Schizosaccharomyces pombe: one gene and its partner. Changing the gene in region 2 together with the main gene of any one other region gives a genetic interaction. Each region holds a gene or a part of one and is shown on either strand. Other genes may lie near its edges.

Region 1 (6,591 bases), on a different chromosome or scaffold from region 2:
CTTTGGAAGACTTTCGTGATGGAAAATGTAACTATTTGTTGGCTACAGATGTTGCATCTCGTGGTATTGATATCAAAGGCATTGAGGTCGTAATAAATTACGAAGCTCCAGCTACTCACGAAGTTTATCTTCATCGTGTTGGTCGTACTGCTCGTGCTGGCAGGAGTGGTAGAGCTATTACATTAGCCGGTGAGGGCGATCGCAAAGTTCTTAAAGGTGTATTCAAAAATTCTTCAGCGCAAAACACAAAATTGGTCAACCGTAATCTGGATTTTAACAAAGTTGAAAAGTTTGGTAAAGAAATTGAGGAATTGGAACCTGTTGTTCAGAAAGTGCTAGATGAAGAAAAACAAGAACGAGAAGTATGTTGTTTTTATAAGTATATAAATTTTTTTTCTAACAAATGTAGCTAAAAATTGCCGAACGCGATTTAAAGAAAGGCGAAAACATTATGAAATATGGTGATGAAATTCGTTCTCGTCCAGCACGTACCTGGTTTCAATCCGAAAAAGATAAACAAGCTTCTAAAGGTATGTGACATTGAAATAAAAAAATATGTTTGCTAACATTATAGCCTCCGAAGCGAAAGATAAAAAGTCTTTAGCTAAAAGAAAAAAGCAAATGGAAAAGGAAGAGGTGCCCCGAGCATACAAGAAGACAAAGAATGATAGACTTAGCAACAAAAAGTCTACAAAAAAATCGAAATCTAAGCGCAAATAGGTGAATACGTGAAAGGGAGAAATTTTCAAATGATAAGTGTTTGGTTAGGTTTTGAATTTTTTAGATACTAGATTATATTAGGGTTTCATATGTATAATGGAAATTGGGTTTTGTGTCTCATGGGTAACTTGGTTAGACCTCCTTTACAAAAAGCTCGTACTTTAATTTATATAATAAGAATAAAAGCGTCCGTATGTGTAAACAAAAATGTAATAATTATTCCTTAGCAATTAATTTAAAGGACAAAGTCTATCTAAACTATCATATACCCAACCGCAATGTTTTGTCATATTGTCTTGTCAACATGTCATAATATTAATTTAACGTTTTCTTCGACTTCGGGGCACAGCAATTTTACGGCCCGGGGGCGCATTTGTTTGTGAGTTAGAAGAGCCCAAATTGAATTGAATACCATTGGGCGCTGGTGATTGTGAGGCACTTGCATTAAAGGCAGACGGAGTAGCCGCACCGAACGAAAATCCGGTACTAGGTGGATTACTAGCTGGATTACTAGGTTCTCCTGACCCGAAGGCGAATGCTTGTGATGCATTATTGATGGACCCGGATGGGTTGGGAGTGTTTCCAGCGCCAAACATAGGAGCCGCAGTTGATCCAGCATTTGATGGAGTGAATGTAAAACCTGTACTAGGAGGGTTATTAGTGGCAGTATTAGTAATCCCTCCAAACCCTGCAGGAGCTGCTGGGTTCGTGCCTGACTGGTTGCCAAACGCAAACGCGGAAGACGGGGCCGGCGTCGATGTACCAAACATAGAAGCAGGCTGAGGCGAATTGTTAGCACCGAACGAAAACCCAGACTTAAAGCCAGACGCAGGTGCCGTATCTCCAGCATCCTTAGCCATGGGAGTGTTCTCTTCCTTATTCATACTAGAATTTGATGCTCCAAAAGAAAATGCAGACGTAGTGGGAGCAGGAGCAGAAGCAGAAGCAGCTGGAGCGGTTCCTTCAGAGGTAGTCTTTGAAGTTGCAGACCCAAAGCTAAATGCCGGTTTATTTGATGTACCAAAAGAAAACGGTGCCGTAGACGAATTTGTAGAGGGATTGTTGTTACTGGATGCTTTAACACCACTATTGTTTCCAAATGAAAAAGCAGGTGAAGGAGTGGTAAGATTCGAAGCAGAATCTTTGCCATCAGCAGTATTAGTCGAGGGTTTAGGTGCATTAAAAGCTGATGCAAAACTAAACGGCGCATTAGCAGTTACTCCATCAGTTTTAGAAGATGTATCCAATTGAGGCTTCGTAGTTTCATTTGACGTTGAGGCTTTTTTGTTTGCCTGTTCTGTAGTGGAACCGAAGGAGAAAGCAAAAGGCTTTGCATCCTCCGTTTGTTCCAAAGTTCTCTTAGTAGCATTGCCATTCGTCTTCGTTGTATCGTTAGGAATGTTATTCTCATTTGTTTTTTCAGATACAGCAGCAAAGGGAGATACAAAATTAAAGGTTGAAGAGGGCACAGCGTTATTAGAAGATACTGAATCCTTTATTTCAGAAGCTTTTGGACCTGTTGGAGGGACCTCTTTTTCAGTTTCCTTTTGCTTTACGGCTTCTTCATTAAAAGTTTTTTCAGGTAGCAAATTGGTTTTGGCATCCGTATTTGGCTTGGTAAAATTAAATGAAAACTGAGGAGCAGTTGTTGTTACATTTTCAGTATTAGGTTTTGCAAACGAAAATGGAGTAGAAGCTTTAGCTGACAAACTGTCATTCGCTTCATCTTTCCCTTTTTTAGCAAAAGAAAAGGAATTTGTAGGTGGGACTTCTTTGGACTCCTTGGTCAAATTGAATGAAAAGGGTGATGAGCCTGCGGTATTTCCAAAACCCGAGGACGGTTTTGATTCGGGAGCTGACGGTTTTGACTCAGAAGCAACAGTAGAACTAGCTAGACCATTTTCAGAAGTTTTTTTGTCATTGAAAATATTGCTTGTTGGCTTTCCAAAACTACTTCCAAAATTAAATTGTAGCGTAGGTTTTGTTGTGTCTTGTGTACTAGAAGCATTGTTTAAAGAGAAATTGAACGTAGGAGCTTTCGTTTCTTCCTTCTCTTCAAGGGTTTTAGGTGCGAATCCTCCAAAGCTGAAACCAGAAGTTGAAGCAGGAGCAGACGGAGCGTTGTCCTTCTTTTCTGTTTCTTCTCGTTTTGGACTTAATTGAGAAAAAAATGAAGGCTTGTTCTCAGTTATACTTGGCGTCTCTTGAGTCTTTGACGGTAATTGTGCAAAGAACGTTGGCTTGGGCTCATTCTCCTTCAAACGATTAGTTTGCACATCAGCAGTAGCAGTTGGCTTAAACTCAAATTTGGGTACATTTAATTTTTTGTCCGTGGTAGCTTCAGTCTTCGGTTCAAACTTAAATTCGGGTACTGAAAAGTGAGAAGATTTGATTTCCTTAGAAGGTGATGGCGGTTCAACTTCGGACTTTCTAGTTGTAGATTCTTTTGTCGGCGATGAGGAAAATTGGCTTTTGGGCGCTTCTGTATCCTTTGACAATGGCTGATGTTCAAAGGTTTTATTATCCTCAGCGTTCGCGAGAGTAAGTGCCGTATCATTCGGAGAAGTCTTTACAGGCTTAGGGGTAATAGAGGCTTGAAGCTCTTCAAAGGTAGGGGCGGACTTCGTCAATAAACCCTTGTCACTTGTATTATCCTTGGGAGATGCTATTATAGGTTCTAATATACGCTCAGATTTTGGATTTTGTTTGGGTAATGCGGTGTAATGAACGTCATCTTCGCAAGCAAAGATTTCATCCAAATCCTCATCAACTGCAGAAAAAGCCTTAATATGACCTTTCTCGAGAGTCTGACGCTTACGCGAAGTGGGTGTACTTAACCGGTGATAAATATCTTGCTTATCAATAAACATTGTATTACCGGGGTTGGAATCTGTCTGAACTTCTGCATTGACTAATACAGGCTTCCTTAAATCCATCTGTTCAAGAGTTTCATAAATGATAGGGATAAGCCGCTGGTGTCTACGACGTCGCCGAGAGGAGCGGTGAGGAACGTGATTTTTTGCTGAGACCTCTGTTTCGCCATTCTCCTTATCTCTAATGTCGGTAAGACTCTTATGGGAATCATTTCCAGAAAAGCTTTTGTTCTGCTTAGCTGAGGGCTCGTTTTCAGAGGCACGAGCAACAGATTTCTTTTTGGAAAGCATAGGACTGGGACTTCTAGAAGGCTTGCGCTTCTCACAAGTAGGATTAGCTTCGGTAATACGATCTTGTTTTACACTTGATATATTTAAGGTATTTTTCTGCTCATCGTGAAGTGACCGAAGGATATTGAGCAATGAAGCAGAGGATTTGGGAGTTGCAATTTGATGTTGAGAAGTGCTGCCCAACTTTTTGGATAAAGCAGAAGAAGGATGAAGCGAATTAAGTGATTTTAACGACAACTCGTCATGGCGTTTAAAAAGCGTTGGGGAATTAGTATAATCTTGCTTTTGCTTTGGCTTCCTAGGTTCAAATGTATTCGTATGAACTTTTTCCTCTATTCCATCAATTGTTCTAACATGGCTCCGATTACTAACGCGAATAATTCTTCTATTTAATGTTAATATGTTTCACGACAAAAATGTCAACTTACGGAGATTTTCCTAAATAATGAGGTGTTAACTCTGGAGTAAGCAGGCTTTTTGTACCTGCTCTTCCACTCTTTCTATCCTTGCTAGCCGTTCCTGAAGCTTTCTCGTCTAGACCACTGGTGAATGGGTGCAAAACAGATGAAAATGCCCGTTTCAAGACCGTAAAAAAGGGCCTTGAGCTCCCCTGAGGTGGGTCATAGGGTTTCTTAACAGTCTTTGATGAAGTGCGAGTATTTTTTGAAACAGGAGGCATCAATACAAACTCATCGACAACTACTAGAAGACGTTGGTTAATGAGAAGTAGCGAGTTTAGTTACGTGGCAATTATTTTTCATGCTAATGACTTATTGATTGTCTGGTAGCGCTATTTGTTATATGCCAATATCGTAGTCGTAGGAACTGTACGACTATTGTAACACGTTTCGTAAAAATGTTTAATACGAGAAGAAAGGGAGTTATTTGAAGGTGTTAAGCAAGATGGAATATGTTAATACAATTTGTTTTCGGTTTAAAAAAATGGGATATCAAATTCTATTTAATCTCGTTACCAGTAAAGTGGTGATTGCAACAGTAGTCCACGAGCCTTAGCTTCGTCAATATTCGCTTTATCAAGTTTTAGGCTGTCTAATATTCTAGCAACTTACTTGCAATACTTAAATTCTTCCGTTTAAATCAGCTTACATTGTATGAAGAAATGATTAGTTCTATTTTCATAGAAAAACACTTAGGCACGTACTGTCTAATCGTACGTAATTGGAATTTCGCTTTACTATCATCTATAGTAGTGTTGATTAAAACAAGTGCCTCCCATATAGCAAGGCAGCGTTCATTGCTAATCATATTATGCAAATATTCACTTAATTAGTATATTAATCAAAAAAAAGCTACCAATATATACCTATAGTAACTGAATAGTGGGATCACCTCATATAACTATTAGTATGTGTCTACTTATTACTGAGATGTCACATACTATGTAGCTATTTGAATATTTCATAACCATCAATTCAAAAATTGGTGGAAGACAAATGTTTTTTCCTATTTTTCTATTCCTAAATTGTATACAAAGTAGTTCGTTATAGAGATCATTGAAGGCATGGCAAAAATTGTTTACTAGACATTATGAATTTCAGTAACAGATCTTTGGTTCAATAGTGGATAAATAATATACTCAATAAATATAAAACCATGAAAATCTTAAATATAGCAAATTAACTAAGGCATTGAAAGAAATTTGTCGATCCTGGTTCTTCCAAACTACTATTAACGTATATTCAACTTAAACTTCAGCTTGCCGTTTACCAAGCACTGCATATTTGGGTTCTGCCAGCTTTCCCTTTCTATTGTCATGATTTACGCTGTTTTTATATTTAACAATAAAGGGAAACCTCGTCTCACAAAGTTTTACACTCCAATTGATGAATCCATTCAACAAAAGTTAATAGGAGATATATATGCAGCTGTATCCACTAGGCCCCCAACCGCTTGTAATTTTTTGGAAAGTAATTTAATTGCAGGTAAAAATAGAATAATTTATCGCCAGTACGCTACTCTCTACTTCGTTTTTGTAGTAGATGAAGGTGAAAGTGAACTAGGAATTCTCGATCTCATTCAAGTAAGTTGAAATTAGTTACTTTCCAATTTCTAACTATTAAAGGTATTTGTTGAAGCATTAGATCGATGCTTTAATAATGTTTGCGAGCTTGATTTGGTAAGTACATTTCACTACTCGTTTATCTTCCCATTATCCTACTGCTATATGTTTGAAACCATTGATTCCGTTTTTTTTTATTTAATTTGTTTTTTTCTTATTTGGTTTCGAATGTTTGGAAATTTGGCCTTACAAGAAACATTAATGTTTGTCCAATATTCGATTATCAAAAGAGCATAACATTTATTTTTATCATTTATTGAACTTAGGAACTACAAGAGTTTAATTCCTAATTCCTTTACTTCTCATCGCCTTCAAGAAAGAAATTATGCATAGAACTGGAAGTAGAGTCTCATTGTCGATGATTCGCAATCTCCAATGAAAAAAAAGAGGAGGTGTTAGTAATAATTATCCAAATACAAGTGTATACGCCAAAAAAAAAGGATATTGAAGGAAGAAATAATTAGAAGAGTTGAAAGCCATCTGTTTGAAAGCGAATTAGAAAGATCTAACACAATATAGGTTTTTAAATTCCAAGAAATACATGCTATTCTTGCTGAGGTAGTATCTGGTGGTCTTGTCTTAGAGACAAATCTGAATGAAATTGTTTTGGCAGCTCAGAATCAAATG
Region 2 (3,986 bases):
ATGATAGTAATTTTTAAAAATTTCAAAGAAAACGATCGAATTAGAGCTCTATAGTCTTCAATTGGAAGAGTGCTTTTACCTTATTTGAATGTAAACAAAACCAATTCAACGGGGGAAAATGTGTTTCAAAGAAGGAAAGGTCCAGAATCTATCGATTAGCTAAATTCCTTTCCTTGTTAGTATATGCGTATAAAACGCGGAGAATCTAAGTGCGAGTAAAAAAAAATTCCAGATAATTGTTTGTTTCCGACAAGTTGAAAAAGACGGCGAAGCAAACCTATTTGTTCACTTATACAAATATATTAAAAAATAATTAAAATCTTTAATTTGTTAACTCGGTAAAATCGTTAAATTATCGCTAAATAAATTTATCGACCTTTATCAAATTTTCTTCATTCAATTTACGAGTTCTCAACCACCGTTTCGTTATAAATATTTGCGTATTCAACGTTAAAAACCGTAATTATCCTTCTTGCCTTTCCGGCCCAGTGGAAGTTCCAATGACGCCGCGGAAGGGCTGCACACCTCAGTAGCGAATATGGGGAAAGAGCAAATTCATGCTTGCCACGATGACTACCTGGATGCTTGATGTAGGTGACGTGTTACTTAAGATGAAAATGTAAATACAAGAGAAGAAATGGGTCAAGAAGGCGATTAATGGATGAAAAGAGAAATTATTCATAGAAAAATTTTTCCTTAAATATGCGCTTTTATTAATCTTTCGTTTAGGTTTTTTTCTCTCGTAAATTAATTCAGATATAGGTATTTAATCAACATTGCCAATTTCAACAAGTTTTAGGGGTTACGTGCAATAGTTTTATTGTTCTATTGTTTTTTAATTCTTCTCTCAATCCTAACTCTTGAAATTTTGTCGTACAAGACATTTTTCGCATTTCGTCAAGTTAAATTTTATGTTAAACTAGAGTTATTTGCGAATTAGGCTAATGAGCAGAAACCACTTGAATATACAAAATTTTATTTATTTATTTATTTATTTATTTTTTTTAAAAAAAGAGTAAATGGTAATTAATCTACTAGAAGCGTAAAAAGAATTGTTCAATACTTCAAAAAGAAAAATATGTATATCATATATCAAACCAGATTAGCAATCAATGCCAATAGCTTTATTCATTGAAAAAATAAAAAAAATAAAGAACGGTTATAGATGAGTCAATTAATTTCGTACTTTAACGTTAGTTGGTTTATTTCGTTTTTGTACAACATTATTTACTTTTTTAAATACTTAGTTCCTGCTTATCATAATGAATATAGCTAGCTTCATTAGTTAAAATTATTAGTATAGTTTTCGAAATTGTAAACGCTACTATAGTTTCTTTTTTCTGTAATTTCCTAAATTGCTTCAAAACAGCATTTGCAATGCAGCACATTCTCAATTAAGAGCAGTTGTAAGCAAAGAGCAATGAGAAATCTTTCAAATTAGATAAAATGAAGTACAGTAAGATCCACATATTCAACAAAGCTATCCTTTCCCTTTAGTGTCTCTGTTGCTATCACTTATATACGAAAGCATGGCATTGGAAGCGTAAAATGAATCATTAATTTTGCAGATGTAGTTTTCTGGGATCAGGAAATAAAAAATTTAAGAAATTTCAAAAGAACTTGAGAAGAAATTGATGAACTAGTTGGTCTGTAGGCAAAAGATCAATGATACCAAATTGTTTCCTTGATAAAAGTCCCATTGCCAAACAAGAGTATAAGTTAAAAGAAAGTAAAGAAATAAGGAAAAATATAAATTGATGATACAACTATACTATCAAACTATTCTTTGCAATTGTCAGTTTTAAAGTTGAAACCTATTTCCTGTAGGATAGACAAACGAGGAAGCAAAAAATACCAATAAAAATGTTTATGATTTTCAACTAGTTATGTATAATTTGAAAATCACTTTAAATTGACTCTCTATTGAAATCACCGCCATGTCAGTTTCAACTCTGATCAAAGATCTCATGAACTAAGGATTGCATTTGACATTTGGAGTTACCAGGTAAAAGAAGAGGAAAATTTTGGTAAAAGGTTGAACCGTTTTGTCTACGATCTGTTGGTCCATTCGATTTCCCAGCATATACCTCTTCTTGTCCAAACCACGAAACGTAACCTTTAATATTCATGTCTCAATCTTTTCTACTATAATTAAACTCACGTATAGGATTGACTATACAACATCAATCTCCAAGCTGTGATAACGAGTATTTTCCATCTGATCCCAACCAACCTTTTAGGAATATTTATCCTTTCCAAAGCAAACCAAATCATTTCTTTTCGAAATTTGATTTTTTTAACAAAAAGTGTTAAGATCGTAAAAATAACAAATGCCTCCATCTACAGTTAATCAAGAAGTCAATTCTATCCTATTCATCAAGAACTTGTCTTTTAAAATTACAGCAGAAGAGATGTACGATCTTTTTGGTAGGTATGGTCCTGTACGACAAATAAGGCTGGGGAATACGGTTCAAACAAGAGGTACTGCATTTGTGGTTTATGAAAACGTTCAAGACGCTCGTCGAGCTTGCGAAAAGCTTTCTGGCTACAACTTCATGGATAGATACTTGGTTGGTACGTTATCTTAGGGAATGTATTAGCTACTATTAATTTTAATTTCTCCTTTCTAACGGCTTTTTAATATCTTCTTGTTAACTTTTTTTTTAGTGCATTATTATAACCCTGAAAGAGCTAAGGTTGATGGTCAAGATTTGGCAGCAAGGTATGCCGCCTTGGAACAAGTTAAGCAAAAATACGGTGTTCAGTGAACGTTTACTATTTATTTACCAAAAAAAAACAAACAAATTAGGAGTCTGATATTGACTCCATTAACGTGTAATAGATTTCCTCTTTCTATAAATTCTGTTGAAGAGAACATACAGCAGAAAAATGAATCGGCTCATATTAAACAATCGTTTACTAGTGTTTCGAACCTAGGTATAAAAAAGGTACTATAAGGACTTGAATTTTATTATATTTCGCTTAAAGCTTTTTAGTAATAATAATGTAATGCATTGATCTATAATATAACAACGTCTACATGTAGTATTAAGATTTGAATCCCTAATAAAACGTATCCAAATTTGCCCAACCGTATTTCCCAATTAATAATTTTATCTGGCACAAACTTCAAATCATAATGAGCTAGTTTCCAAAGTCCAACCCTTCCAGCTTCATTACCAACACATAACTCACCACCCTTACCAAAAGCTAGGCATGTAACTCTGCCTAAAGGCGTAGCGCTGGTGGGCCAATTACGGAACACACTAAAGCTGGGAACATGAACGAGTCGTAGAGTATCCTTCTTTCCTCGAGATGCGATAGCTAAAACTTGACTATCTTGAGAAAAGCTCATACTATTTATGCTGAAAGTAATATTATCCAATGTAGTGACAGGTTTTGGTGCAGCGTCCGCATTGGATGTCTGGAGGTCATATATATTAACAATACCACTCTTGCTACCAATTGCCAAATACTTATTAGATGGGTCCAAACAAAAATGAGTGGTAGATACACCATCTTGAACTTGCCAACGACGAACGACTGAACGTTGCTCAACATTAAAATGCCATACCTCCGCACCATAACTAAGCACCAACATTTCCGACCCGTCAGAAGTGAACAAAACGTCGGAAAGTACACCTTCAATTTTAAAGCTTGTAGCAAACTGACCAGTAAGAGCATGCAGTAAATTTATATGGCCAGATCTTCCTTCCAAAGCAATGTACTTCCCAGTTGGATCTACGTGAAACCTTTCCATACTTGGCTGAAAGTTCTCTTGTCCATACATACGACTAACTTTTTGAACTTGGGCAGACTCCAAATCCCAAATGTACATGTATTTTCTCCGACCAGCAGCTATTACTCGTTTACCATCCGGATGAAACAACGCAGTTTGAAGAGCTGAAGAACGTAAATGCAAAGATGTTACCAGTGGATTGACTTTGCCATCAAGCTGATAAATGCGAAGTGTGCGATCAAAGCCA

Evidence for each region. Genes that interact genetically often act in the same process or in processes that back each other up.
Region 1: mutations in sap14 (region 2) and nup124 together harm fitness more than expected from each alone (negative genetic interaction), as found in Schizosaccharomyces pombe (one large-scale study listed by BioGRID).

The regions. Positions count from the first base shown.
Region 1 is NC_003424.3:1,110,186-1,116,776, reverse strand, and holds nup124 (nucleoporin Nup124), read right to left. Parts: upstream 4,603-6,591; 5' UTR 4,564-4,602; coding exon 4,313-4,563; intron 4,270-4,312; coding exon 1,041-4,269; 3' UTR 909-1,040; downstream 1-908. Other genes in the region: ddx27 (putative ATP-dependent RNA helicase Ddx27/Drs1), read left to right, coding at 1-362, 410-530, 575-720; AP-3 adaptor complex subunit Aps3, read left to right, coding at 5,659-5,925, 5,968-6,021, 6,484-6,591. UniProt on the Schizosaccharomyces pombe protein: Nucleoporins may be involved in both binding and translocation of the proteins during nucleocytoplasmic transport. In S.pombe it is required for the nuclear localization of retrotransposon tf1.
Region 2 is NC_003423.3:2,049,040-2,053,025, reverse strand, and holds sap14 (Pre-mRNA branch site p14-like protein), read left to right. Parts: upstream 1-2,257; 5' UTR 2,258-2,330; coding exon 2,331-2,574; exon of another isoform or gene 2,575-2,667; coding exon 2,668-2,768; 3' UTR 2,769-3,029; downstream 3,030-3,986.